2 linked regions of the Caenorhabditis elegans genome follow. The protein of the gene in region 2 purifies or fractionates together with the protein of the main gene of each other region. This does not show direct contact. Each region holds a gene or a part of one and is shown on either strand. Other genes may lie near its edges.

Evidence for each region.
Region 1: the proteins of ddr-2 (region 2) and shc-1 purify together in Caenorhabditis elegans (affinity purification with western blotting, with the first as the bait; one study listed by BioGRID). This does not show direct contact.

Annotation. Positions count from the first base shown.
Region 1 is NC_003279.8:963,437-979,512, forward strand, and holds shc-1 (SHC-transforming protein homolog 1), read right to left. Parts: upstream 9,698-16,076; 5' UTR 9,617-9,697; coding exon 9,551-9,616; intron 9,502-9,550; coding exon 9,431-9,501; exon of another isoform or gene 9,285-9,430; coding exon 9,212-9,284; intron 8,651-9,211; exon of another isoform or gene 8,515-8,650; coding exon 8,024-8,514; intron 6,548-8,023; coding exon 6,457-6,547; intron 6,403-6,456; coding exon 6,244-6,402; 3' UTR 5,897-6,243; coding exon of another isoform or gene 5,801-5,896; 3' UTR 5,652-5,800; downstream 1-5,651. Other genes in the region: cutl-20 (ZP domain-containing protein), read right to left, coding at 277-616, 678-760, 3,040-3,162, 3,211-3,297, 3,343-3,487, 4,799-4,881, 4,927-5,052, 5,801-5,896. UniProt on the Caenorhabditis elegans protein: Scaffold protein which plays an important role in the activation of the JNK pathway composed of mlk-1, mek-1 and kgb-1; by bringing together mek-1 and mlk-1, promotes mlk-1-mediated phosphorylation and activation of mek-1 which in turn phosphorylates kgb-1.
Region 2 is NC_003284.9:3,309,366-3,323,790, forward strand, and holds the start of ddr-2 (Discoidin domain-containing receptor tyrosine kinase B), read left to right. Parts: upstream 1-5,948; 5' UTR 5,949-5,981; coding exon 5,982-6,048; intron 6,049-6,088; exon of another isoform or gene 6,089-6,368; intron 6,369-7,690; exon of another isoform or gene 7,691-8,490; coding exon 8,491-8,596; intron 8,597-8,918; exon of another isoform or gene 8,919-9,238; intron 9,239-9,812; coding exon 9,813-9,910; intron 9,911-9,959; coding exon 9,960-10,093; intron 10,094-10,636; exon of another isoform or gene 10,637-10,916; intron 10,917-11,662; coding exon 11,663-11,810; intron 11,811-11,919; coding exon 11,920-12,209; intron 12,210-12,253; coding exon 12,254-12,566; intron 12,567-12,619; coding exon 12,620-12,887; intron 12,888-13,106; coding exon 13,107-13,178; intron 13,179-13,226; coding exon 13,227-13,453; intron 13,454-13,502; coding exon 13,503-13,632; intron 13,633-13,679; coding exon 13,680-13,757; intron 13,758-14,086; coding exon 14,087-14,393; intron 14,394-14,425. UniProt on the Caenorhabditis elegans protein: Tyrosine-protein kinase receptor which, together with ddr-1, is involved in axon guidance to establish the tracts for the ventral and dorsal nerve cords during nervous system development.

The sequences.
Region 1 (16,076 bases), on a different chromosome or scaffold from region 2:
ACAGTAACCCCCTTGAAGTTGGTGTAAAACTTGCAAATGTCTACCGTAATCCTACAGTACCCCAATACAGTACCGCCGCAATACAGTTGGCATAACACTATGAAATCTTACAGTACACTACAGTATGCAAAAACTACAGTAACCCCCTTGAAGTTGGTGTAAAACTTGCAAATGTTCAACTTTCTACAAATTTGCCATTAACTTGTAAGTTGGGGGAGCGCATCGAAGTGTATACATATATGTACATGCCAACCAATTATTTTCTCAAACAATTTATTAATAGTCGAAGACACCTGAAGCAACGATTAGGAGGAAGAAGAGGAAGGAGAGATTGGCAGAAGAAGAAGAAGAAGACGAATTAGTTGAAGAATCTGTTGAAACGGAAGACGTTGTTTGTGATGTCTCTAGCCGTGCGACAGCTTCCCGTTTCAGACGGAACGATGTTCGCACGGCGATCGGTGGCGAGATGTCGGACACGTCGATTGTCGACGAGAAGGGATCAGAGACGGTTGAAGAATGCTGAGGAGGAGGATTATGTCGACGTTCCCGTCCACGACACGCGGCCTGGGTACACGTGACACAGACGTGAAGGTTACAGAAGATGTTCACCTCGTTGCTGGAATAATAGTCGTTGAGAGGTGGGTGGTGAACATGAACAAAGAACTTAAGAGGCTTACCTCGTTGGGAATGCCCAGGCCTTTATGTGGTTGTAGAAGATGGTCTTACCATTGCGTCGAGTCACTTCAAAGTCTCCCCACACCTGGAACAATTTTCTATGGAAGTCTCAAATAATATGCAGTTGGTCGATGCACCATGATGAATTTTGTGCCAAACATGGTGCATCGACGCTAAATAATTTTCTTTTGAAATTTAAAGATGTTTTGCTAGACTTTCCCTAAACATCTTTTTAGTTTTCCAATGTTCTCTAATATCATCATGGTGCATCGAGAAAAAATGTTATAGGAGGAGTAAAGAAATTTGAGACTTTACTTTTTTAGACCAAAAATGACCCAAAACTACCGAATTGTTTAGTAAGACGTTTTGAAAATTTTTCAAAACAAAGTTATGGCGGTTCAAAGTTCTGGAAAATAGCATATTTTCAGCTAAAATCTAATGTTTTGGGGGCTGGGGGAGGAATAAAAATGTAATTTTTTTTGTGCCCCACTGCCCGAAAATGCACTTTAATCGACGAATAAACGGCTTATAAAGGGCCACAATATTTATAAAAGAGTGATATTATAGTTATAAATAAAAATTGAGTTCCCGACCGAGAAAAAAATTGGCGAAAATTTTGATTTTAGCTGAAAATGGGACTTTTTTTCCAAAACTTTGAGCGGCCATAACTCTTTTTTGAGAATTTTTCAAAACGTCTCATTTAGAAATTCGGTAGTTTTGGGTCATTTTTGATCTAAAAAAGTAAAGTCTCAGATTTTGATACTTTCTCGATGCACCATGATGAAGAGAAAAAAAGAGAAAATTTAGAAAAAAAAAAAAAGAACCCTTCCGATGTTTTGGGAAAGTTTAGCAAAACAATAGATTTGTAAAAAATTCAATTTCATTAGGTTCCTATTAAATTCTCAATTTTTATCAATGCACCATACATTTTCAGCGTGAAATTTTGTAAAATGCACAGGAATGAAAATTGATCAGGTGTGTATAAAATAAGAAATTGAAGCATTTTGTTTTTTTTTTTGTCGATACACCATGATGAATTTCACGTCAAACATGGTGCATCCTGGAAAGGAGAGAGTTTTAAAAATGTATCATTTTTTTCTCGATGCACCATGAAGATTTATATTAGTAGAACTTAAACCGCACTTAGCATAAGTGGCATAAAAATAAAGGTGGAGTAGCGCCAGTGGGGATTTTGTCTAAATACACTTATTATGATCCAAAACGATCGAATATCTTAATGAAACACTCCAAAATATTTAAGATTTTTCAAAATTTCCGGTCAAAGTTTTGGCAAATTGCCAAAATATTGAAAAAAAATATGAGCTTTTGAGGAAATCCAAAGCAATGTCGCGTGTTTCGACCCACACAATGTTTTTATACAATGTAGAAAAAAATTTTTTTTTGGTCGACTTTTAAAATTATGAGTGGCAAAAACTGAGTAATTGCCAATTTGACAGTAAATAAAAAATTTTCAAAAACATTTTGAAAAGTTTTATTATGATATTCGATTATTCTGGCACCATTTGAGTGGTTTGTAGTAATTTCCCCACTGGCGCTACTCCACCTTTAAAATTAAAAAAAAAATCATAATGGGTATTTAATATCAATGAAAATTATCGATTTTTCCAAATGTATCAAAATGAGTGTTCAGCGCGAAATTTTGTGCAGGACTTTTTCTTTCAATAATATATCCCGAATGATGCATTAGTTATGGGCTACACGATTTTTAGAAAAGCACCTGGCCATGCTTAAAGGTGGAGAACCGAAATTTGATACTCTGTCTTTTTAGATCCAAAACGGTCCAAGACTACCAATATTCGTATTAACCTGTTCTGAAAAATTTTCAAAAAAAAAAGTTATGGCCGTTCAAAGTTTTGGAAAAATGGTCGATTTTTAGCTAAAATCTCAAATTTTGGCAACTTTTCAATGTCACAGCTGGAGCTTAATTTTAGAAACAACACGTGATAAATTGCAAAAACATGCATAAAAATATGTTCCAACCGCTCCGACACTAAAAAGGTGCCAAAATTTGAGATTTTAGCTAAAAATCGACCATTTTTCCAAAACTTTGAGAGGTCATAATAACTTTTTTTTTTGAAAAATTTTCAGAACGTCTTAATACGAAATTTGGTAGTTTTTGGACCATTTTGGGTCTAAAAAGGCAAAGTATCAAATTTTGGTACTCCACTCACTATCGAAGCAGAGCCCCAAAAGTTTGACCGACCCAATTTTGTAAGTTTCTTCGATGCACCATGATGATTTTGAGCAAAATGTTAGTTTTTTTTTTTGAAAAACTGGTGGCAGGACCCAGTTTTCGGCAGTTTTAAATGTCGATGCACTATGTTTTTTTTAATGAAACCGTACCTCCCCAGAAGTCTGCAAAGAGCATCCGTGTGAGTCCGACAGTGGTAGCTCGGATATCCCGTCATTCGCCCAACACCTTCCGATTCGTCCATTCTGATCATCGCTCATTTCAACTGTGTACGTCTACAATTTACAAATAGTTTCTTTTGATTTATGGAGTTCCTGACTTACAACTCTATCACCAACTGCTAACGGACGTTGTAGCTGCTTTGAATCCAAACTGTCGCCGTCTAGAACACGAACTCGGTAGTCGACTGTCTGAAACATTATATGGGTCTCGCAGCGATAATTTTGAAGCCTTACCTTATTATCCGATAGGCTGCTTGCTGTGGTGGCATCCGAGTTGATAGTGATTCCACCAAATGATACGGTCACCTGAGATTCTTTAGGAACAGGGGCAGCAGGTATACAGGTCAGAAGGAATCGTTTGTCGGTTTCTGCATTGAATCTTAAAAAAAAACGATGAGGAAGTTATTTTTTATTTTTGTCTATTTTTGTTCGTATATGGTTTTTTAGGTACCATGGAATAAAAAAAATGCTCCTAAAAAAATTAGTTTCAATAACAAATATTACTGGTACAGAGAGTGTAGATAGTTAGAGAGTGACTGACATCCGGGACCCAATGGGGCGGGGCGCGCGGAAGAGACGATTCGTGTCGATTTACGAAATGATGACAACGAGGAAAATTTCGTAAATCGACACAAATCGTCTCTTCCGCGCGCCCCGCCCCATTGGGTCCCGGATGTCTGTCACTCTCTAACTATCTACACTCTCTGTACCGGTAATACCATAATATGATCATCATTCTACATTAGAAAAAAATCGATCTGAAATCACAGATTTTTGGCCTCCCTCATAAATTGAAATGGAAGAGGTTGCCAAACTAGGCCATTTTGGCTCGGCCATATCTGGGGTAGATTTACGGCGCGTTGCGTGTCGCGTCGCGGCTCGATTTTAGTTGTAAAACTAAATGTAGTTGGCCGTGTGGAGTACACGACTTTCCCACGCGTTGCCCGACGGGCGATTGCCAATGGAGCGCGAGAATCTCAATGAGGAAGGCCATGGCGCGCCAGAACCCCATGATTTTTAGGGTATTTCGAGGTTGGCAAATATTCTGGAATCTTTTTGCAAAATGTTTTTTTTTTTTTGAAAAAAAAATTCCAAAAAATATCCTGATCGATGAAAATTGTTGGGTGAAAAAAGTTGCAGATTTTAGGAGAAATTTGAGAAATTAGAAAAATTAGAAATTAGGAGAAATCAGAAAATTTCCAAACTGCTTTCAGAATACTTGTATATATTGAAATAGCCTAAAAATCATGAAATTTTTCAAAAATCTCTAAACTAGCCTCCAAATTTGGTAGTAAAAATTCACTGGCAGCAACTTCAGAGCGAGATTTTTCTAGTTTAAAGTGCTCGTATGTCGCTGAATTTTTTGTAGGTACCTATTTGAAAGCTCTTTTTTCAAAATTCAAAAATTTAATTTTCAAGTTTAAATTTTGAGTAGCGCCAGTGGGGGATTTTGTCTAAATACACTTATTATGATCCAAAACTACCTGAGTAATTGCCACTTTTTGACAGTAAATAAAACATTTACAAAAAAAAAAAGTTTTATTATGATATTCGGTCACTTTGGGACCAAATGAATGGTTTTTCATAATTTCCCCACTGGCGCTACTCCACCTTTAAAACTGAGCGGAAATACTTTCCTTGTGAGCATAGCGGCAAAAAACCTAGTACCACATGGCAAAAAAAAACCCACTCATTGTTAGCCATGACAACTTCGATCTCATTCTCCAAATTGCCTTCTCCGTTCTCCTTGGTCGAGCAGCCAGTCAGCGGAATCTAAGCAAATAATGCCCAAAAATTCAATACATTCAATAGGCAAACCTTCAACTGATATTTGGTGTCCGATTGAAGCGTGCCATTTGCATAGATACACTTTGGATGGCCCGCGCGACTTTGTATCGTGCCACGGAAGTTTTCGTCAAACTTGATTTTCAATAGGAAATCTGTCTGCAATATTGAAGACGTTTTTTTCCTTTTGGGTGGTGACCTTCAAGGTTTTGGCCTGGGTTTTTAATCTTCCATTAAATGCCCTTCAAATTCGCTTTTTCGAGAGTTTAAGAGAGTTTCTAGGCCGAGGAACTTCTTGCAGCCAAATTTCTAAACTATTGTGTTTTTGCCAAAAACAATGAAACATTTTAGGTCATTTGTGACGTCATATTTTTTCCATGCAACTTTTTATTGGCTCCACACATCTTCCAAAAAGCCTAAGCCTGAGCCTAATCCAATGTCTAAGCTTAAGCCTAAGGTTCAGCCTAAGCCTACGCCTAAGCCCAAACCAAAGCCTAAGCCTAAGCCTAAGCTCAAGCCTAAGCCTAAGCCTAAAAAAAACCGGAAAATCCTAAGCCTAAATAGCGTCAGTAGCAAGCTAACGCTCGCCACTGACGCCAAACCTAAGTCTCGGCTTAAGCCAAAGCCTAAGCCTAAGCCTAAACCCATGATTAAGCCCAATCCTAAGCCTACGCCTAAGCTTGAACCTAAGCCTAAGCCTAAGCCTAAGCCTAAACCCAAGCCTAAAATTTCTAGGCCACCACTAATATTTTCAAAACTCGATTCTCAAATACTTCATTTTTTCAGGATATGAAAGTAGGACAGAAATGGGCAGGGTATATGGTATGGAGCAAATATCACAAGATGGCAGAAACATAGATACGGGGTGGGAGTGTTGGACTAGGTGACTTTTCTAGGCCATCCCTACCTTATCACACGCAATAGAAGTGTCCACAATGGCCACCGATCGAATCAGCGGTGGCAGCACCACAACCACCGACCAAATGATCCAGTGCAGAATCATAAATTTGTGGAGGGAAAAATCGATAACAGTAGTGAGGGTAATAGTAGTAATAATACAAATATATATGGAAAAATGAATACAAAAAGATGTGTGCGCTGGTTGGGGTGGTGGCGTAAGAATACAGGTGGGTGGGGGGTATAATTGGAGCGTGGCCGAGGAGGAGAATCGCAAAAAAAAGAAGGAAAGAAAGAGGATAGTAATGACATGTTACGGTAGAAGGACAACTACCTAATTATATGAAAGAGGGGGGGGGGGCGACGAGAAGAGGAAAAAGTCTTACGCAATTTGCTACTCGACTTTCAATTTCTGCTAGAAATCGAAAAAAAAATAGGAAACAAATTCCGACTCTATTCGATATCATCACTTCCGGGGCACGGCACAGGTCGGATCAGATTCAACGACGTCTCGCGATCCCGACCCTCTGATCTTACGGCCATCCCATTGTTCACATGATAGTCGATGAGCTCGGAGATGTTGCTGAACGTGCGATCGCGGGTTCGGACTCTCTGGAATTTTGAGAGGTTTGAAGGTTTGGCGGGGGGGGGGGGGGAGGGTCTTACGTTGTGATTGTCCAGTAGGATGAGATGTTTGTGCTCGTTTTCAGCGGTTCGGCCACTCAGCACGTACTTGCCGGGCGTGTGGTCGCTTTGTCTGCAAGGAACTGGACAAGTTTGAGCGGCCGACAGCTTGCGGGTCTTTTTTTAGAGAAGGGGGACTGTGAGGTGTCCGCTGCTTCAGACAATCTTAGCATCATGCAAACCTTGCATCTTTTGTATTTCAGGAAAAAAAACGCAGAATTTTTTTTGAACAAAAATTTCAGCCTAAAACAAAAATCTAAAAAAATTTTGGGAGGATGAACTTATTATACCAAATTTTTCCCTGGTCTTTCAAGAATTATTTAAAGTCCCGTGGCTTCTGAACATATTATCAAACAAATTACAGATATGAAATGTGACTGAAGCTTTAAGTCAGAAATATATAAAAAAAGGATTTTTCATACTATTTTTTCAGTCAAATTTGATTTTTTTAGACTTTCAGATTTTTCTACGAAGTCTGTTAAAATAGGCTTATATTAAAAAGCTATCCGATTTACTATTAGTAAAAAATTATAGCGACCGACATCTCGCAGGTTGTTAAAGAAAGGTGCATTGACCGGCTCACGCAACTTTGGCAGTTTATATCTCGGCTGGTTTTGGTTTTATTTAAAAAATTTCAATTGACGAAATATTTATCACTTTTTCTACTAAAAGTTTGCAGTTGAACACTTTTTGCTAGCAGCGATATTAACCGAGATATTAGCGGAAAAAGTTACATGAGAAACATGGTGCATCGACAAGAAATATCTCACAAAACTTTGGCAGGTTATATCTCGGCTGGTTGTGGTTTTATTAAAAAATTGTTAATTAACAAAATGTTTATCCTTTTTTCTACTACAACTTTGCAGTTCAACACTTTTTGCTAGCAGCGATATAAACTGAGATATGATTGGAAAAAGTTACATGAGAAACATGGTGCATCGACAAGAAATATCTCACAAAACTTTGGCAGGTTATATCTCGGCTGGTTGTGGTTTTATTGAAAAATTGTTAATTGACAAAATATTTATCCTTTTTTCTTCTACAACTTTGCAGATGAACACTTTTTGCTAGCAGCGATATAAACCGAGATATGATTGGAAAAAGTTACATGGAAGACATGATGCATTGATCAGCTATCATAGCTCATATTTTACTTATCTCAGGTTTTACCAAAAAATTGCCAATTATTAAAACATTAGCCTTTTTCTTCGAAAATCAAATTTTGCCCGAATTGCCGAAAATATAGATTTGATATTTTTTTGTAGATTTAGGAGCCTAAACATTTTTTAATTTTTTAAGTATTGACCGTTTGCTTTTAAAAATGACTAATCGAATACTGAAAACACAGTTAACTTTTTTTTCAATTTTCGAATTATAATTAGGTTTGAAAATTGCCGAAAATGTCGGCATTCAGTTGGAATTTTGGCAATTGCCGAAAATTTCCGATTCCCACGCGCCCCTGGTGTGAACCTAGTGAGCATGAAGCCAAACGTTTTAGAAATTCAGCAAAATTCTAGCTTTTTTCTATAAAAAATCTAAAAAACCTTACCGAACCAAAAAATCGCCTTCCGTCTTCAACAAAGCCTGTGCATCCTCTCTGGATAAATTTCCATGATACCAAACTTTCCCCACAACATCCTCAGTTACAGTAGGTGCTCGGCAATTCGACACAAATGACTGTCGATGCAGGGAACTTCGATGTCTCATCGGCGGCGCCGGCACCGTAAATCCATCGTTAGAAGTTGAAGCATTCGCCTGTGCATCAAAAGTGTTCACATTGATCGCAGTGGTAAGGACGTCGATGAGCTTGTGCACATCCTCGATGAACACCACGTGGCATCGACGATCCGTTCCATCCTTGTTTTTTGCAATGTAGCCGAACATTAGCTCCGTGTCCGTACCCTTTTGGCCTTGGGCTCCGAATGAGAAGAATGAGAAGGGATGACGTTGAATTAGACGACTTTGTTTTATGATTTTGATCATTTTCGAGGAAATGTTGATGTCTACGGGGAAGTTTTCTTTTTTCACTTCACCGATTACCTGAAAATAAGGATGGTTTACCTGGGCTTTTTCATCGACCCGTGAAGTGTCGGCTGCAATAATTTTAGTCGAAATTAGTGATAATAACTTTTCTATGAATAGCGGCTGACATCATTTAGCGCGATTTTTGATCGACCTGTAAGATGTCGGTTGCTTTAGTACATTCTATAGTGGCAGGCTTTTGGCTGAATTTTACTGGATATATAAGCTATCAAAATTTGAGCATGTCGATGCACCATGTAATTATCTCAGTTTATTTCGCTGCTATCAAAAAGTGTTAAAATGCAAAGTTGTAGTAGAAAAAACGATAAATATTTTGTCAATTGACACTTTTTCAAAAAAAAACCAAAACCAGCAGAGATATAAGTAGTCAAAGTTGAGTCAGATATTTCCAGTCGATGCACCATGTAACCTTTCTCTAATAACCTGTGAGATGTCGGTTGCTATAATTTTTTAGTCATTAATTTGGACAGCTTGTTAATTTGAAATAATTCTTGATGATATCGTAGCGCGGCCGACATTTCACGGGTCCTTTTTTTTAAACATTTTGCAAAGCTGGTCATGCATTTTTGGTAACACTTAATATCAAATTAATGAGAAAATGTTTTGTAAATTTTTACCATTAGCCATGCCCAGAAAATGGCAAGTTTTTTATTTTATTTTCTTTTGTTTTTTTAATTCACAAAAAAAAACTCACCCTACTAACAACTGGATTGATTTCTCGAGCCGCAGTCACGCCAACAGTAGCTGCAACGTGTTGTATACATTCTCTGAAAATTGAACAGTTACTTTATTACGTAGATTTTTTATATATTTGAGCTTGCAGATGTTACCTGCCTTCATGCCTGCCTACCGCCTGATTTCTAAATTTTTGAATAAGATTTTTTTTTGATTTTAAGCCATAAGAAAAACTAACGAAACAACTTGAACTCTCATCTCGGAAACCATCACGTTAATTGACTCGACTACTGGAACACTTCCGAGGTACTGAAAGACAATTTTATATTTTCGGGGAAAAAACTAATAAAAAACTCACAGTAGCCGACAGAGAAACCCCGCTGCTCCGCAGCTCCTCTGCAAATGAGGGCTCCACGTTGAGCATCGCCGCAAGTTGATTTTTCGACGGAATTTTTGATTATTTTTAGAAAAAATCTAACTCGAAATTCGTTACAACCGAAATTTTGCAAGATTGAGTGAATGAGGAATGACCGGGAGAGAAACGGAGACGCAGGCGGTGAGCGGAGTGGGAGAGAGAGCGCGCGAGACGGAGAGGCGCAGGCAGTGGTAGGGAGGAGACAGGGAAAGATTAGATTGGTGTTGACTGGGTGAGTCAGCATTCTAATAAGTTAAGTTGACTCATAACTTTGTTTTTTGATCAGAGGGGGGGGGGGGGGGCCGTGGCCTAGAAATATCATTGCCTACTTATTACGTCACTAATGGTCTAGGAAACCTTGATAGCTTTTTTGGAGAAGATATGACGTCATTGGTGGACTAGAAATCTTATTTTAGTTCTGGAAGAGAAATATTTTGACCGTGGAAGACAAATTAATGATGTGACCGGTGGCCTAGAAGTTTCAAATTATACCTGGGGAAATAAATGACGCCACTGGTGGCCTAGAAAACTTAAACTATGCCTGAAGACGTCACCGGTGACCTAGAAATTTAATTCTGGCGACGTCATAGAAATTTGAATTTTGATGAGAAATATAATTTTATTGGTTTTCTGAAAATTGAATTTTATTGATTTTTTGGCAACCGGGAAATTGGAAAATTTAATAAATTGAACAAATGCAATAAAATAAGCAGTTTTTCAACAGTCATTACTTTTTTCCGTGAACCGTTTTGATTTTAATTTGTAAATCTAGGTCGGAAAAGTCACACACACCGAGGAGCTAGGCTTCCCTCATCCTCCCTGGATCAGTCGGTAACTGCTTCGACTGGGGAGTGGGAGTGGGAGGGGTGGGATGAGTTCAATTCTTCTGGAATTCCATAATTTTTATTTTTGTTTTTTTGCGCCTACATATACCTGTGAAAATTGGAACTCGACACAAAAACCTCTCTAGCGCGGCTTAAATTTACTTCAATTCTTCCGGAATTCCATAATTTTTATTTTTGTTTTTTTGCGCCTACATATACCTGTGAAAATTGGAACTCGACACAAAAACCTCTCTAGCGCGGCTTAAATTTACTTCAATTCTTCCGGAATTCCATAATTTTTATTTTTGTTTTTTTGCGCCTACATATACCTGTGAAAATTGGAACTCGACACAAAAACCTCTCTAGCGCGGCTTAAATTTACTTTCCTGTCCCAAAAACTCATCTATAATATTTTTAAAAAATCTAGAATCCAAATCTATCAGATTTTTTTGAATTTTTGATTTTTTTCACATCGAGATTCGGAATCAGCGGAAAATTTGGAGTCAATTAAAAATATTTTCCAGATTTCGATACTCCACATTTAAAGGAGATCACCTGAAACGCCAGAATATGATACTTCATACTCTCCATCTTCTCGCTTTTGAAAATAATCAAAAAAAATAGTCGCCGTATTTATTGATATAGAAAAAATACCAACAAAATTGTAACTATTGATTAGCCATACAGGGTCTTTAAAGTCAACATTCATAGTGGGAGCTGGAAATAAAAATATATAATAACTTGTTAAAAGAATTTATTGTGGAGTTATAACACCTATAGACAATTAAAATCACCTGCTGCCTAAAGAGTATTTACCAGAAGCAAAGGTTTTCTGAATTTAGTGGAGTTTGTCCATTTACTTTTTTGCATGTTATTGAATTGAAATGATACATAGTGAAACTAGAGGTAAAATTATTTACTAGGTTTAGGCTTAGGCTCAGGATTAGGCTTAAGCTTAGGCTTAGTTTTAGGTTTAAGCTTAGGCTTAGAATTACCGATAACTGATAACTTTTGCAAATTTAGTTTCTGTAATATCGGCAATAGCCAAAATTGCCGGAAATTTCTGCGATTCGAATAAATAAATTGAAATAAAAATTAGTTCCTAAGATACATGTTATCTTTTTGCAGGAAAGTAGTAAACTCATGAAATGAGAAATTGCGATGAGGAAGGAAACATTCCTATGGTTCCTTAGACAATTTCTCACCTTACATTAGTATATAATATATAAATGATGAATTTGACTTTTTGAAATTCTCTTCAATAAATACATTTAGTTGTTTTTTTTTTAATGAGTAAAGTTGCAGAGTGTGGAATTTGCTATGAGGAATATGGTGAATATTGTTGGAAATTTTTCTGAAAGTTTTCATTTTTTTTGGAAATTTAGAGAGTTGGGTGTAATTACTGAAAATTATGTTTTAAAAAAATTATTTTAATGATTTTTCAAATTTTACAAAAAACTCATTTTTAAATCATTAGAGGTGAAGTAGCGCCAGTGGGAAGATTGTTAAGATCCACTCCTTTAATCCGAAAAGTACCGAATATCATAATAAAACTTTTCAAAAGTTTTTAGAAACTTTTTTATTTACTGTCAAAAAGTGACAACCACTCAGTTTTTGCCACTCATAATTTTGGAAGTCGACCAAAAAAAAAATTTGTTTTCCTACATTTTTTATACTTCAATTTTGTTTTAATTATTTGTATTGAAAAATTGTAGGGGTCGAAACATGCGACAATCCTGTCAGTTTTCAAAAATCTCTACTTACAAAATATAGGACACGCTCCAAAAATGGATGTTTTTACAGACAACGCCATCCGAATCCCTTGCATCGGCACATGCGGTCATACGTTATGTGACAGTTGTCGTGAGAAAATTAGAGATAAAAAATGTCCTCAGTGTAATCAGAAAGGCGCATTTGTTGTGAAAAATGTGAATAAACAATTTTGGGATTTAATTGTTTTTTCGCAATTTTTAAAACCCCAGGAAGTGGAAGTTGAGGAGACTGAAGAGGTTGGTTAGAACTTTTTTTTTGGATTTTTCGGTATTTCCGGGAGGTTATCCTTTGGGCCTAAAACTAGGCCTAAGAGTAGGCCTAAGCCTAAGCCTAAAACTAAGCCTTAGCCTAAAACTAAGCATGAGCCTGAGCCTAAGCCTAAGTCAAGCCTAAGCCTAAGTCTGCTGCTATCAAAAAGTGTTAAAATGCAAAGTTGTAGTAGAAAAAACGATAAATATTTTGTCAATTGACACTTTTTCAAAAAAAAACCAAAACCAGCAGAGATATAAGTAGTCAAAGTTGAGTCAGATATTTCCGGTCGATGCACCATGTAACCTTTCTCTAACAACCTGTGAGATGTCGGTTGCTATAATTTTTTAGTCATTAATTTGGACAGCTTGTTAATTTGAAATAATTCTTGAAGATATCGTAGCGCGGCCGACATTTCACGGGTCCTTTTTTTTTAACATTTTGCAAAGCTGGTCATGCATTTTTGGTAACACTTAATATCAAATTAATGAGAAAATGTTTTGTAAATTTTTACCATTAGCCATGCCCAGAAAATGGCAAGTTTTTTATTTTATTTTCTTTTGTTTTTTTAATTCACAAAAAAAAACTCACCCTACTAACAACTGGATTGATTTCTCGAGCCGCAGTCACGCCAACAGTAGCTGCAACGTGTTGTATACATTCTCTGAAAATTGAACAGTTACTTTATTACGTAGATTTTTTATATATTTGAGCTTGCGATTGTGTAATCAAAAATAAACATTTGAAGCATGATACGAAATATTTGAACGATTTTTTTTCGGAAAATCAATAAATGAAAATGGAGTTTTTTTTTTGGATTTTAGCAAACTTCCCAAATGACGGAAAGATCATATGAAGCGATTATTTTTTCTTTTATAAACCTGTTCAGGATTTGCATTATTATGAGAAAATCCTAGGCCAATTAGGCTAGCATGTACGGAAGTATTTTTTAAAAATTTATAAAAGTAATGAAAAGCTGATATTTTCAAAATTCCAGAATGACGGAAAAATCATATGAAATGCTTTTTTTTTCTTTTTTAAACCTATTTAGAATTGTCAAAACTACCAGAAAATACTAAACAAAATAGCTTAGCTTGACCGGAAATATTTTTAAAAAATTGATAAAAATAATGAAAAGCTGATATTTTCAAAATTCCAGAATGACGGAAAAATCATATGAAGCGATTCTTTTTTCTTTTATAAACCTCTTTAGAATTGTCAAAACTACCAGAAAATACTAAACAAAGTAGGTTAGCTTAACCGGAAGTAATTTTTACAAATTGATAAAAATAATAAAAAGATGATTTTTTCAAAATTCCAAAATGACTGAAAAATCATATGAAGCGATTCGTTTTTCTTTCATAAAATAGTTTAGAATTGGAATAATGATCAGAAAATACTAAACAAAGTAGGTTAGCTTGACCGGAAGTATTTTTAAAAAATTGATTAAAAAAACTGATTTTTAAAAAATTCCAGAATGACGGAAAAATCATATGAAGCGATTCTTTTTTCTTTTATAAAGTAGTTCAGAATTAGCATTATTATGAGAAAATCCTAGGCGAATAAGGCTAGCATGTACGAAAGTATTATTTAAAAATTTATAAAAGTAATGAAAAGCTGATTTTTTAAAAATTCCAGAATGACGGAAAAATCATATGAAGCGATTCTTTTTTCTTTTATAAACCTGTTCAGAATTGTCAAAACTATTAGAAAATACTGAACAAAATAGGTTAGTCCTAGGAAAGACTAGTTAGGAAAGAATTCTTAAAATAGGAAGTTGAACAGAAAATCTGGAAGATCTGAAATCTGGAAAAAGGAACTCTCAAAAATTCAAATTTTGATTTTAGGAATATATGGCTGTGTAGTCTTCATAGACAATCAAAATAAATTATTTTAATTTTCAACCATCTTTATGCACGGGCTTCTGTCCTTCCTCATTGAATTTTTCGCGCTCCATTGACAATCGCCTGCCGGACAACGCGTGGGAAAGTCGTGTACTGCACACGGACAAATACATTTAGTTTTACAACTGAAATCGAGCCGCGACGCGACACGCAACGCGCCGTAAATCTACCCCAGATAAAGCCGAGCGAAATGACCTAGTTCGGCAAACTCTTCCATTTCAATTTATGAGGAAAGCCAGAAACCCGTTTTTATGTAAAAGTTCATACTGTGCAGTTAATTTAAACAAATCAAAATTTGGAAAATGATTTTTGGCTTTGTGCAAACTGTAGCGTTTTAGGCGTTAAAAATCTGCCAATGAATAAAAAATTTCTTATAAAATTTTTAAAAAAACAGTTATTTGCCCATTCCGTTTTTCAACATTTATCAATTACGGTTCCAGTGATCAAATGCTTACACGGAAGTCACTGATGACGTTGACTCCATGTTTGGTTGCGATGTGAAAAAGGTCGTTTTTTGCCCAAATCGAGAAAGGTCACACACACACATAGACATACACAAAACCTTATATAATTTGTAAGATATTTTGTTTGATTCGAGAAAAAAAAGAGAACAGGTATTCCTGCGGCGTCGTTTTTCTAAACGGCAGGAAAAATTGAGAGAAAGAAAGAGAAAGAAAAAAGATGGAAAAAAACAGTTTAAATATAATTATTAGGTTTAATTATTAGGGGTGCACCATATTGTCGTAGGGGCCCTTCTCCAAAGTTTTAAGTTTATCGATAGAGCGTGAATACATAAAGAGAGAAATTTGACCTGCAAAAAAAATATATGGTTGGTTCCCATGCCATAAAAAATCCATGCAACAAATGAAAACAACACCTGCCAAGTGTCCTCCGCCAGTCTAACCAAGTTTTTCCCTCCAAATGTTCCGTGACATTGTTGTTTAAGGCTTTGTACTTTCCGCAGCCGTCTTATTCTTCCCGAAGTGTTCTCCCTAGATAATCGGGTTTTTTTGTTGAATCGGCTGGGGGTAATGATCGGAGAAGATATATATGAAATAAATGAATAAAAAAGGAACACCTTTTGGAGAGGCAATGAAAAAGCAAGCTATGCAAAGTATTGATCCGTTGTTATGAATGGGCTTGCTTAGGCTTAGGTTTTTTTTAGGTTTAGGCTTAGGCTTAGGCTTAGGCTTAAGCTTAGGCTTAGGCTTAGGCTTAGGCTTAGGCTCAGGTTTAGGCTTAGGCTTAGGCTTAGGCTAAATCTAGGCTTTGGCTTAGGCTCAGGCTTGTGCTTAGGCTTAGACTTAGGCTTAAGCGTAGGCTTAGGCTTAGGTTAGGCTTAAGCTTAGACTTAGACTTAGACTTAGGCTTAGGCTTAGGCTTAGGCTTAGGTTTAGGCTTAAGCATATACCTAGGCTTAGCCTTAGGCTTAGTCTTAGGCTTAGGCATATGTTTAGGCTTATGCTTTGGCTTAGGCTTAGACCGTGTGTATATCCGAATGTGTGTTTTATTATGTTCCTGATTCTGAAATCATTTGTTAGTTTAATATCTACAAACATTCCAAACAGTCTGTATGTGCTGCCAGGTGGCATTTCCTTAATCATCTCAAATATATTTGGTTTCATTTCCCCCCATCGCAAAATCCCTTTCTTTACCTGTCATTTCGCCTTTACGTTCAACTTATTTGATTTTGTTGTTTTCAAGTGATAATCACGATTA
Region 2 (14,425 bases):
CTCGCTCGGCTCACCCGGTTTTAATGCATTCGTATTTTTGTGCCCCCCTTCAGAGTTTACTCTCTTGTTTTCTCGCCTCACTTGCCTTCATTTTATTTATTTTGTTCAGTTCGCCCAAAATTTCTTTGTCCTTACGTTAGTGCCATTAGTGTATTTTCAATCGGTTGGTGAAAGGTAGCAATTGCCAGTTTCCCAGGTAATAAACATCGCACCTTCACGCTATTTCTTGTTGATAACGATTTACCGAACCCTTTTTCAAAATGTTTGAATTCATGGTGAATGGTTTGAATATTCAGTTAGTGACTTTTGTCAACCGCAACATTGTTCCAATCTCATATCCTATTCAATGTGATGTTCTTTATCTGGCAGCCCGTTTGCCTCCTGAATAATTCACAAACGCAATTTCAATATCTATCACGTATTTCCTTCCTCTCTCTCTTCTAAGATTTTAAATCTGTTCCTCTTCCCGTTTTCTGATTGTTGTTGGAGGAACAGATTGCATCCAGTTGTAATCTGTCAGTCAATTTTTGTAACAAGTTCCTAACCTAGTAATATGACACCTTCCAATAGACATGCCAATGTGCTAATCCTTCTGGTGTGGGGTCAGTTTGGTAGGTCAATCATATCACATTTCGCATTTTTCTCACTTTCTTGTTAATTAACAACTTGTTGAAGGAGATCAAGTAGAATAAAGTACCATAATAGGTGTCAAAGGAGTTTGAAATGAGATATTGCAAAAGTATACAACAGTTTACCGCAACTTATTTGACATCCATACAGTAATAGAAAAGTGTGTTATATTACTGTTCAAATATAAGACACATAGGTAACATAATTTTCTTTATCCACCACTCGCAGAACAAACGTATTTAATACGTATTTCTTGAATTTTGACATACGTGTTACTAATTTTAATACAGAGTATTTTCTATATTACTATTGCATACAATACTATTCTTCTATTTGAGACTTTTAGATGCAACGTTACTACGATTGCAGGAGTGCTTAGAACTATACTTTAGAACTTAAGGTAAAATGGAACATTTTTCATTCCCCAATATAATAACTAATCATAAGTTGTTGTAAGATTTATAGACTTTGGCAACTGAACATTAAAATTCCAATAAACGTATAGTCCAAATATTGCATTTGCTGTCAGAATATTTCAATTGCCATACTTATTTTTAAAGAAGAGCTAGAAATGCAATATCTTTTTAAGCTGCTCATTGTTTAAAATATAAACTAATGAATTTTCCTTTCTCAAATCTTTTCCGACAAGCCAACAACATATTCCACCTTGAAGGTCATCATATCCACACTTATCTCGAAAACATAACCAGGCCAACGTGCCTCGACACCATCAACATACGCGTGGTAGACAAGACAAGGGGGGCCAAGAAATCGGTGGGCCGAATCTATCGGCGTTCACGGTGTGGTGTGACTAATTGATGGTTGTTAGTACGGGAGTAGTAGTACATGAGATGTCGACGGCGGATAACCAGACGAAGGACCTACTCGAGGTCGTGTCCGGTTGTTCACAGTCTCTTTTCCTCACCTTTCATCCCTTTTCCAATTTAATGAGCCTTCTAATTATGTGCCATCAGACTCGGAGTATAATTATAACCTTTAAGACATGGCAGTGAATACAGTTTGGTTAGAACTTAGACTTTCCGCATGTTTTTCGTGTATCGGTGTGTACCAAATTAGAAAGAAATGCTTATTATGGATGCTCATCAGTTTTAATTGAGAAATACAGAAAAAATATGTTGATTTTAAAGTATTCGAAAATCAAAAAACTTAGTTAAGAGAATCTCAAAAACTGAAAGTTATTATTTCGATGATTTTGATGAATTTTAAATTTTCAAAAGCGGAATAAAAATATACAAGAATTCAAAAAATTGGCAGTCATGAATACATACCTTCCGTACATGCAAAAAAGTTGTTAGATTGGTTTTTATTTTGTCCTAAAGGTGATCTGAAAATCCTTTCGTATGGGGCTAAAGTGAGTGGTCAAATGGTTAATAAAACTATTCAAAAAACTGTGAAAAATTTTTATTTCGATAAAAACATAAAACTAATAAATATTTTTTTAGTTTTATGTTTTAATTGGGTTCAAAAAATTTATATTACACTATCGAACATTGTGTTACTAAATGTGATAGCTGGCGCAAGTTCGGGTTTAACCATTTTTTGAATCGAAACAAAAACATTTTCAAAAACTGTTTAAAAGTTTTATTATGATAATTTGTAATCTTAACGGTATGAAAATAAGTTTTAATCATTTTCGCACTGCCCGTATTTTATCTTTTTTTGTAAAAAATTTAAAAAAAATTAATTTCTAACTTTGAAAGCGTAATTATTATACCAAAATTTACAGTCCCGTAGATTTTCTGCACACCCCTCTGGTTGATATTTTCATACCTTAAGAAAAGTAATAAAACTTGTCATTTCGCTGGCTGTTATGACAATGCATGTTTGACTTTAGCCAAAAATTAATCAACAAGCTACCTATGCCACCAAAATGTATTGTCGGTGTTTCTTTTTGCCGTTTGCGGTAAACCGAATAACATGCATGCAAATATTAGTTTACCGTTGGCGATGAAAGGTCGCAGAGCCCTAATTCGTACTGACAGCCGTGTGAGGCGAGTAGGGGACCCACTGATTTATTGCTCTCCGCCAAAAGTTTTATTACCTCCTTTTCGTCTTGCCAAATTCCACTAAATTGCACTGGAAAACCCAGCGGCTCAAGAATCAGCTGCTCACCCTGGAGCTCCTGGAGTATCTCAAGAGGTTGTGAGTCAAGCTTTTGCAATGGTCGCAAGCAGCCGCCAGTCCCTTTTTTTTCGTTGTTCTGCCGTTTTAATTAATGATCTGATCGGGCGGGTGTTAAAGAACAGAAGAACGGCTGATCGATTGCTCACGGCGCAGGGCACACACTTGAAGAGTATATTTTTTTCTTTTTGTTCTAAGCTTTTCTGCTGGAAATGAAAGAAGATTGATGAGTCGAATAAACAAGCCATTTCCCCCAGTTGTTGCAAGTATTCCTGTTTGTTTTTCAACTACAAATTATAACCCATTATTACTGTGTACTTGAAATTGTTATCAAAACGCGGTGAAAGTAACAAAGGAACTGTTTGCATTTGTAGAACACGCCATAATTTCTTTCATAAACATTTGACCTCCATTAGTGTTACATAACTTTCCAGGAACCACGGCGTTACATTTTCATATAAAAGGAATAGAAAAATAAAAGCCGAAAGCGTGAAAACAAAGAAAAGCCTTTGAAGATTTAAAGTTCAAGGAATTCTGTCGGCGCTTTTTTTTTGGTTGCCTGTTCCGGTAGCCATGATCTCGTTCCGTTTTTCACATTACACTACCTCACACGCACATTTATTTCTCGCCTTTTCACCTTTTTCACCTTCTCACCTACATTACGTCTTTCTGTTTCACCACTTTTTGTGCGAATTCTCAAATAGTCTCATAAAAGTGCGAAATCATTACCATGGTCATGCTCATTGCGTTCTTCGTTCGAGACGCGCATTCAACGTGGCCACTCTTTGTCTCTAATTACACACAGCCTTCCTGGAAGGTCGTTTTTAAATGAACGTACTTCTAGCGTGATATGTTATTCGGTTAGTGTCTGTTCAGTTTCGTATGTTCGCAATTTCAATGGTCTTTAACGGTCGATTTGTCAGAATTTCCGGCGGGTGGTACGAGTCAACAGTGGTGATTGACTGCTACTGCAAGGAATTGAACAGAGAGTCGAACGAAAACTTTGATCAATTTTTTTTGTCTGCCCTGTTTGTGAAATCAGAAAATCATTAAATCTAACAATGACTCATGTAAAATGAGCATTTTCACAAAAAAAGTGCACTATTAGAAAACTGATATAACTTTTTTTTAAAGTTTAGATAGATTGGAGAAACTGTATATTTTTTAGTTTTGTTAGTTAGGAAATGTTTTCTCACAATTTTCATTATTGATTTAGTTGTAAAAAAAATTTAAAATGCCGGAAAAGTGTCACCGGAGAAAAATACTGAAAAAAGTCATAGTAAGAAGTTTCTTAAAAAATTGTTATTTTGTTTGAAAAAAGTGATAATTGTTTAGTTTTGGTCATTTTTTATGAACGCCGTGAATCAAAAAAAATGTTGTTTTTCGAATTTTTAAGTGTACTTACATTATAATGAATTTAATTTTTTTGTTGAAACTTCAGTACTGTATTTTTTTAAAGAGGCAAAACTCAATAATTGCCACTTTTTGACTGTCATTAAAAATGTTTAAAAATTGCTTTGAAAAGTTTTATTATGGAATTTGGTAATTTTGGCACTATCTTCGGATAAAATATTTGATTTTAGAATTTAGAAATTCTAGACCTCTTTTTCAAATTTACGATTCCTATTTAAAAATGACTTCCTAAGAATCTTGTTCCCACTAGGGATCTTATATTTTCGTTTTTCGTTTTTTAAATGCTATACTTCTCAGAGGTACTAATTCCCACTGAACCTGCCTCAGGCAGTTAATTTTTCGTCGTCCTCCTCCAATTTTTTAATACCCATTTCTTCTGATCGTAGAACATCTGTCTTGGATGCTTGGGCAGGGATGTTCTCATTGAAAAGCGATAAAACTTTCAAGACACTGTTCAATTTACAGAACATTCGCTACTTCCTCTTCAACACCTGTCTTTTCGCTTCTGATGAGGTACCACCACCGCCGATCCACACAGACCGCCACCCCTCCCGCCAAGACTCCGCCCCTCTATTCTTCATTGCTATGCTTGCGCGAAGGCTGCCCTCTTCCCCCCCCCACCACTTTCTGGCCACCCACTTTTCCTTGGTGCAAAAACCATAGCTTTGTACAGTTTGAGTGAGTTCAATGCTTCTGAATCGTCTTCTTTCGAACTTTTTTCTCCAGCTTCTTGATGGGTTAATGTGCAATGCAATGAAGCACATGTACATAGTACTCTCTTTCTTCCACACATATGGTTTACGTTTCCTATGTGTCCCTCTCCTTGATGCAATCTCTTAGCAGCCTTCACTCTATACATGATTTTTAATATATATCTTTCTTACAAAACTTGTTTCTTTTCTTCTCCCAATTTTTTTCCATTTTCTTTGCTCTGAGTCACGGTGTTACTAGAGAAGTCATCTGCCAAAAACTCATATTGCGGTTGGTCCTCACACCTATTCTCTACCTATTCATCGTAGAAGCCCAATTGGTTTTCTCATTACTTCACACCCTCATCTACCGCGAGTACAACGTTCGCTTTTTCATTTCTCCATTTTTTAGAGTACCGAAAGTGTCATTGGTGGTATAAATTGCTCTTTTGAATTTCTGGGAATAGTCAGGAGCAACAGCTCCCATCAACCACCACGGTACGATCCATTAAATTAACATATAGTGCAGCTTGAAATTGAAATTGAGTGAAGTGGTAATTGATGAGAGGGTGTGTGCAAATTGAAAAAGGAGGCACAACACGCCAGAAAAAGAGCAAGACCACCAACTACATTTTTCTAGCTTCCTCTCGCATTTTTTTTTTCACGCGCATCTTGACAAGCTTATCTGTTCTTGGTCTTCAACTATTGACCCCATCTATCCGTTTTCCATGTTTCATTTCTTCCAATTTTTTTTTGTTGCTCTTCTCCTTTTCCAACTTTCACACCCACCAACCTCGTTGCTTTCGGCTTTTGCAACTTACTAGTTAATTCCAACTTTTTTCTTCTTCTCACTCCATATATTCTAATATAAATATGAAAGCCGCCGAGATGAGTATAATAACGCGCTCTTCCTGAATAGCTTCCCGCAAAAGAGCGGATATTTGAGCATCTGCCCCCAGGCCCTCTTCACACTTCTCTATTTCATTTTGGGCCTGTCAAATTGAATTTCGTACGTTGTTGTTCCTTCTAGACTTTGACCACTTTTTTCAATTTCCTCATATGCTTTTTTGGCTTTTTTCAGAGTCTCCGACGCTCATCTATGTCAGGATGAAGTTGCTGCTGTATCTATTCGGTGTCACATTTCATAGCAACACAGTAGTCGCATTGGAATTAAGTAAGTGTACGGTCAATTGACTTTCCTTCTTCTAAATATGGCAATATTGCAAAAAAGTGTCCGTTTTGGGAAAGTGGCCAAGAAAAGAGGAGGGGACGATTGTTAGAAATGCATCATATTTTTGTCACCAGTTGCACTCTAAACTCCTAAACTAGTACACTTTTTTCTCTTCTCCTCCTCGCCCATTAGCTCTCATCACGTTTTGGTGGCTTACACGCCGGAATTTATGGGAGGCAAAAGGAAACGACATGATGATGAAAAGGGTATGCAGTTAAGAAGGTGAAACCGACAAACGGAAAAAAACGTTTTGGGGACAACCTAACTTTTTTTTGAGATACCATCAGTTTGCGCGAAATTGTGAATAGTCAGCGGCAGGAGATGATATCAAAAGGCATAAAAGGAGTGGGTTAGTTTTGAATCGGACACTTGCAGTGACATAAAGATGGTCACAAGTGGATAGTGATGAATTATAGGCCGGGTTGTTTCTATGACAATATGATCAAAATCTCGAGATAAAAATAATGCATAAAAATAATGCTATTTCAAATATCAACCAGATCTCGACCCCTCGCAATAGTCAAAAAGTCACTAAACCTCTTCAGAAAATTGATGACACCGATTAGGGGCAGGTGCATGTGTAATTGCCGTAATCGCAATCGATCCGTATTCTTGAGCATTGAGCGTAAAATCTGAATAGCTTTGCATTGCGCAATGTGACAAAGAAGTGTTTGTGTGTGTGGGTGTTGGGTGACAGGAGGTAGAATATAGTATTCAATTTATTGCCTTTCATTTTCGATGCTCACAACTCACATGCGTATAAATCACAACACAGTGTTGCTGCTCCGAGGGCTACTTTCACTAGATTTTTGATATTTTGAGAGGGGTGTATGATGACGATGATTCGATTTGTTAGTAGACTAGTGGGAAAAAATGTCGTTGAAAAACGAAAACCAATTTCTTGTGGTCCCGAAAACTCATCATTTGGGTCTTTCCTATGACAGCTGCTTGTCGTTCAATTGCTAAATAACACATCATAACATTGTTCTTTTAGTCGTCCTTATCATTTCTCTCGTTTTTGAAAACAAGATGCACAGAAATCTGCCAGCTTCTCCACAATGTTTTGTAAGATTTTGGGGGATAATATATAATCAAAAGCGGATGGGGGTGACAGTTTTGTCGGGCCGGTTCCCCTCGCTTCCGGAGATGCGCAACTGTTGCAATGCACAAAGATGCCGACGAGAGGTTCCTGCTCACAAAGTGCCACAATGATCGATTGCTTACAGTTTATACCAAACACTCTTTGACAACTTGCTGGCGAGTATCTGGTCGAGCCTATCAAATAAAAAAGAGCCGAAAATGTCGCTGTAAAAAAAACTTAATTGTATGTATTGCGTGGCCAACTTGATTGGCCAGGTTGACATTTTGCACACCTACCTGACTCATTCAACTAAAAGCTTTTGCTTTTTGTTTCGATTTCTTAGGTTTTTTATTAGGTGTGTGTTTTCTTCCAATACCCAAAAAAGAAGAAGACAGTTGCATTATCGTAATCCGTTTTGTTATCGTTTGCATGATTAACGAGATTGCGCAACTTGACATGGCGGCGCACATCACAGAGATTAGTAGCCATGCGCAATTTCTATGGAAACTGACCTGGAGAACGTGCGAAAGGTCACAACACTGGTCCATTAGAGCACTACTCGGAGAAGAGGATATCAACAACATTTGTCATCGTATTTCTCACCTTTCAACCTCACAAATAACAAAACAATTGTTTATCTTACACTACCAGAATGATAAAACGTCTCGAGAGTGTTGCTAGTTACTGGTTGTAAATCATCGCTTGTGGTGTCCTACAACATAAACCTGGTGCGCGAGAAGGTCGTGTGCACAATCTCCATTTTTATTGCTAATTTATGTCTTGACGCACAGACGTCAGGTACTCAATTCTTGCAAATCCATAATGTGACCATAAAAATTGTGCTGCTGTTTGGGTTGTAAAAGACAGGTATAATTATCCGGAATTATCCGCTGGCAACAAAGATAATCGTAAAATATTATTCTGCGGAGGTCTTCGCCTTTTTGGAAATAGATTTAGATTTTCAATTCGACGTGAAACATGCGAAAATTGTGGTTGTACGCGGCAACTCATATGATTAGAAAGCATTGGTTTGATTTGGTGAGCTCAAAAAATTCAATTGAGGATGCCAGCAGACCCGGGTCCTATTTGCTCTTTTTAGGCACATCTCTCGGTAGCCTTGTTGACCGCATATCAGATTAGGCATTGTCGGAAAAAGGATGAGAATACATAATGTCAACAAACGGGGCTACATGACAAAGCATACAATGATAAGTACACTAAACCAAAAAATAAAGGCGGCTGAAATATGATAGGGTGCTCTTAAACTCTTTCAACTCTTTTCCAATTAATAAATTATGTTTCAGGAGAATGCAGTCACCAATTGGGAATGTCAAATCGAAAGATTCGTGATGAGCAAATCTCGGCGTCTTCGAGTTTCGACTTGCAAAGCACTGGACCTCAACATGCTCGGTAAGTGGTTTGGGAACTACTCATTTGAAATTCGTACTACGTTTGAATCCCTTGAAACTTTAATGCAAATTTCCACGGACTTGATAGAAACATAGAAAATTTGAATTACTTTCTCTCTGCCAATCCTTTTAGCATTTTCTCACGAGTTATTTGAATTGTGGGGACCGTTCAAATTTGAAATACACTACACAAAAAATTAGTTGGCATCTTGCTTAATTATAGCGAGCTGACTGTCAACAGGAAGAGAGCTATTGTGTTAGCCTAATAATTAGTCTCTTCCCTAATTACGGTATCCGCTTTCACATCGTTTTGTATAGTGTTGTGACCCCACCCAGGAGAATTCACGCGTTCCCAAAGGCGGCTTTACAAGATGGTTAGAGGGGGGATTACTGCTCTTTGCAAGTTCACGCGTTCGCCAAACTCATTGAAATTGAAATTGAGAGCGCATTGGCATGGCACATCTAATTTGGACAAGCTTCTGACGGGGGAACGTGATGCTTCATCAGTAGCATACGTTAACGCCTCAACAAGCGATTTATCTAGTTTGATTGTTTTGACAGGCCGCATGCGGTGCTGGGGGCTTTCCATTGCTTCACTTCCTAATTGCAATGTGTTGCATTGCGTAGATAAAATCTTGATTAGGAGCTCATCTGGAGAATGAGAGGAGAAGGAAGATGGAATGGAAATTGAGAGCCACACAACGAGAAATTGCAATATACAATAGTATAAATATAAAATAACATACTTTTTATCACTTAAAGGTGAACTACGGTCAGTAGAGAAATATTCCTAATCTTCTAAAATATCCAAATAACTTATTTTTTGTGTAGAATATTTTTATTTTCAGTCAAAAAGCGGTAAAAAACGGTTATTTTAAAAACCTCTAATTGTGAATACTGTCGCATGCATAAACCCCTACTGTCTTGAGATAGGAATTTTCCAAATAAAATTAAACATAAAACTGAATGGAACATATTTTTTTCTTGATTTACGATGTCCAAAAAATGGGTGAAAACTGAGTTTTCACCGCTTTTTGACTTGAAATGAAATTTCCAATATTTTTTGAAAAGTTTTATTACAAGATTGGAAGCACCATAGGAATGTTTTTTGTCTACCTACAAGTCTCAAATTTAATACATTTAAACATTTATCGTTATGTATTGTTTTCACATGGGAATGAATTTTATATTTTAATATTCCAATTCAATTTTTTCAGAGCTCATCAAGAATCTGGAAGTGGTGCCTGGTGTCCGAAGAATCAAATAAACTCTCTCAGCAAAGAATGGTTGCAGATTTCGTTTTCCGTGGATACAGGTTTCGAGCAGAATCTAGAAAATTCTAACAAAAAGCCCAATTTTTTCAGTAATAACTTCTGTGGAGACCCAGGGACGATTTGACGACGGACGTGGAATGGAGTATGCGACCGCATTCAAAATTCAGTACTGGCGACCTTCGCTAAACGCATGGGCATCTTATAAAGACGATTTTGAGCTAGAGGTTCGTCCTTTTCATTCAGAATGACCGCTAATTATGGTATCGGCACTCTTTGGAAAGCGCACCGTTATATTTATGCGCTTAACGCCATTAGCCCCAAATATCTGAGATATGTGAATCACAAAAAGAACCTTGCGAAGAGAACAATAGAAATCTAGCTATGACTTTTGACACACCATTTTGACACACCATTCATACTGTCACTATACGAGCAACGGTGGGGGGAAGAAAGACGGGACACGATTTGAATAGAATACAATACAAAAACGCGTTATTCGAGATTTATTACAAGGTCTTCTGCCCCACAATTCGTTGTGTCCGTTTTCGGAGATATCATGAGATTCTATTGAGATTCAAATTTTTATCCATGTACATCCTGTGCTTGGTTATTTTTTTGATGGGAAAAGTGTCGTTGTTCCGTTCTTTTTTTAGTTTGTGTTTTTTTTCTGTTCTTAGAATGAAAAGAAAAAAAACGGAAAAGACTGATCGACAATTGACACGCTATACATGTTCAATTACATTGTGCATTTTTCCTGCAAAAGTGGCTCACTCGACTACCATACCACATTAGAAACCACTAGTGGCTTTTTAGTAAATTAGCTGAAATTTTGTTCAAATACATAGAGGAAACACTTGACACTGGGGCATTGTACGAAGACACGAATTAAGTATTGTCGTAAAATGCGGTACAGTGAATTGAAGAGGGGGGCACTGAGTGACAATGCATCTGCCAGCCACTTGTCGAGACGTGTGTATGATCGGCTCAAGATCATATCGACACATATGTCGCCAGCCATGCTATTCTGCATAACAGGAATTTGAACATGAACATCGGGCACCACAAAACGCATAAAAAACCGTCGGTGATGAGTCTATATCTAAGAAAAGGCTTTCCGAACCGGTCAGTTAATAGAATAGCCTTTAGTTAGGGGTCAATCCAAAAATGGGTAGGCGGCGTGGCTTTCAAGTAACTGCCAGTTAATCCTCTTATGCTCCGGTGACTTTTTGCTTCAGTAATCCTTGGCGGAATAAAAGTGTTATGCGGATAACCGTTCGTCGCAGGATTACCTAATAGACTATTTGGGAATAAATAAGAATAAATTGTAGTGAATAATGAATTGAGGCAGTTTATTTTTTGTATATTTTTTTTGTTGATATTTTTGCAAATTGTTCAAATGATTATAACTTCGAATGAATTAATAAAATACTGCTCAAAACTATATTAACTTGTGTTTGCATGTATTAGGAATTCACTAAATTCATGGGAAAAAATAAAGCGTTCGACATCTCATAAGTCTTGTTTTGATGATGATAAATAAAACGACTATAACTCAAAAACTACATTTAATAAAAAGTTTGTGAAAGTCACATTTGTTTGAAAAATTTGCAAAATTAAAAAAAAAACTCATTGGCCAGCACTGTAAATGAACATCACTTTTGCTCTATTGAAACAAAATTCCATGTTTTATACCTTCTGAGAAATCTAACGCCATGAAAAATTCAAAAAAATTTTGTTGTCATTTTACAGGTGTTGATTTTAGTGTTTCATCCAATTTATCGTTAATTTTTCAGACAATTCCTGCTAATAATGACACGGAGCACGCAATCCGGCGACATCTTGACCGGGCAATCATAGCAAGAAGAATCAGAATTGTTCCAGTTTCAAATTCCACCAGAACTGTTTGCATGAGAGTTGAAGTTTTCGGATGCCCATTTGATGGTTTGTACTTTTTTCGTTTCTAGATAGTTTATGAATCATGTTTTATAAAGTTTTTTCTTTGTTTCCTAGACATTCCTTTATGAAATTTAGCAATTACATTCATTTTCAGATAGTCTCGTGTTTTACAATGTCGATCAAGGCGATTTGCAATCTGGCATCTCTTATCACGACTTTTCCTACGATGGTAATCTCGCCAACTCTCCACACTTAACCGGCGGTATTGGGAAGTTATACGACGGCGAAGTGGGAAAAAACAATGTATTTGTTAATCACCACAAATGGGTTGGATGGAGACGTAAAAGAAATGGCAATGTGAAGTTGGCATTTGAGTTTTCCGAATTGAGAAATATATCAGGGATTTTGATTCATACGTCGAACGAGTTCAAAAAGAGCGCAAAGGTAGTCATCAATTTGTGAATAATATTTTAATAATTATGCTTAAGGCATTTTCCTCGGCTACTGTGCTATTTTCGATAAATGGAAAAGACTTCTCAGACACCATCGTACACTTCAATAATCCGGAAGATACCGAATCAGAGGTACCTCGATGGATAAGGATTCCAGTGAACAATCGGATTGCCAAAGTTGCAAAGATTCGTCTTAACTTTGGAACTGACTCCGACTGGCTGTTCATTTCTGAAGTGAATTTTGAATCAAATCACACAAATATTGAGCTTCTCAATGATGACGTGGTTATTCCCGATTCGGTTTCATATTTCTCCGTAACCGAGCACGATGACGGAACTAGCATGTTTGGTAAGAAGATTCTAATATCTATATTTCTTTAACCGCATATCTTATATTTCCAGCTTTCATTATCTTCTTCTTCATGTTCCTCATCGTGGCAGTCATTATTCTGACAGTTCTCTACCGTAAACGCGAGTATCGTGTGAAAGCATCGTCTCCATCTCCAAATGCGAAACGGGAAATTCTGTTGACAATTGACGGAAACACCATCAAGCATCACGTTTCTCCGTCAACCTATCAAATGGCTCGCGATAATCTTCAGAATGCGTTGATTGAGAAAATGCCCATGTCACCGATTATAAGCGATTACGCTGAACCGGACATTAGTGTGTAAGTTGTTTTTTGCTTGCCTATGCTAATGGAAGTGTGAATAGGCATGGGAAACATGCCGATGAATTAATCACATATTTTGATTCGAAATAGGATGAACACTATTGAAACTAAACATATACCCACACACAGTAGCATTCTCGCGCACAATAAAACTGAAAGGGCAAACACAATAAATGCCTGGTGAGCAATTGACATTTCAATTGTTTAAATTTACAGTTGCTCCGATGTCACCGCCAACACTCCATTGCTCTATGGAATTGATGGTCCATATGATACACAGAAGAGAAGGTGCGTTGAGCCAACAAAAAATATATCACACAATGCTCAAAGTTGCAGCAACCCTTTGTCATCTATGGTAAAATACTCCGATTATGGAGAGGTTTATTGCACAACACTTCCGGAAATTGCTCGAGACAAGTTGATTTGCGTGAGCAGAATTGGGCAAGGAGAGTTTGGTGAAGTCGATTTGTGTCAGCTTGAAAACCGAAAAGTTGCGGTCAAAAAACTTCATGGAATCAGTCAAGCCGACGAGTTTTCTTTTCATAGAGAAATTCGAGTATTAGGTAAAAAACTTTCTTTTAGAGCGTGTTATGTACATGACAACAGTTTCAGGAAGTCTCAAACATCCGAACGTAGTTGAAGTCGTCGGAGTATGCACTATACAAAAACCAATACTCTGTATCATGGAATATATGGAAAATGGCGACTTGAAATCCTACATTTTGAAAAACCCTACTATACAGTTAGTTGATGTGTCTCAGAAATGTTTTGTATATTTTAAAGTTTCAGAACCTCCCAATGCATCTCAATTTGCACACAGCTTGCCGCAGGACTTGCCTATTTGGAATCATGTAATTTTGTGCATAGGTAAGCATTTTGTGCATTAATGGTGAAAGATTTATAGCTTGAACTTGAGAAAAAAAAATTTCTTTACCTGTAGCTCGAAAGTTATGTCCTAGACTCCCAGTGCTCCATTTCAACAAAACAACTAAAATAGTTGAACACTTTTATGTAGGCCAAACATAATCGAAATATAAGCTGTTGAAAAATTAATAGTGGTGTAAATTTAATAGGAAAAATAAGATAATTAGTACTGTTTATTATACCTTGAATAATTTTATTTAACTTCAACATTATTTTAACTTAAATTAGACAAAACCCGAACACCCCGGAGTTAAAAAAAGTGGTTCTTACAGAGATATTGCTGCTCGAAATTGCCTTGTTGACGGAGAAGGCAATGTAAAAATTGCCGATTTCGGAATGGCCCGATCTCTTTATTCTCAAGAATATTACAAAGTTGAGGGAAAGTTTGTGCTCCCGATTCGCTGGATGGCATGGGAAGCTTTGCTACTCGGCAAATTTTCCACTGCCAGTGATGTTTGGGGATTCGGAGTTACCATGTGGGAGATCTTCTCGCTGTGCTCCGAAAAACCATACTCCGATATGACAGATGATGATGTGGTGGAGAATCTTCAGAGCATGAGCTCTACTGGATCATTAAAGGTACGTTCAAATATCGATTTTTTACAAAAAAA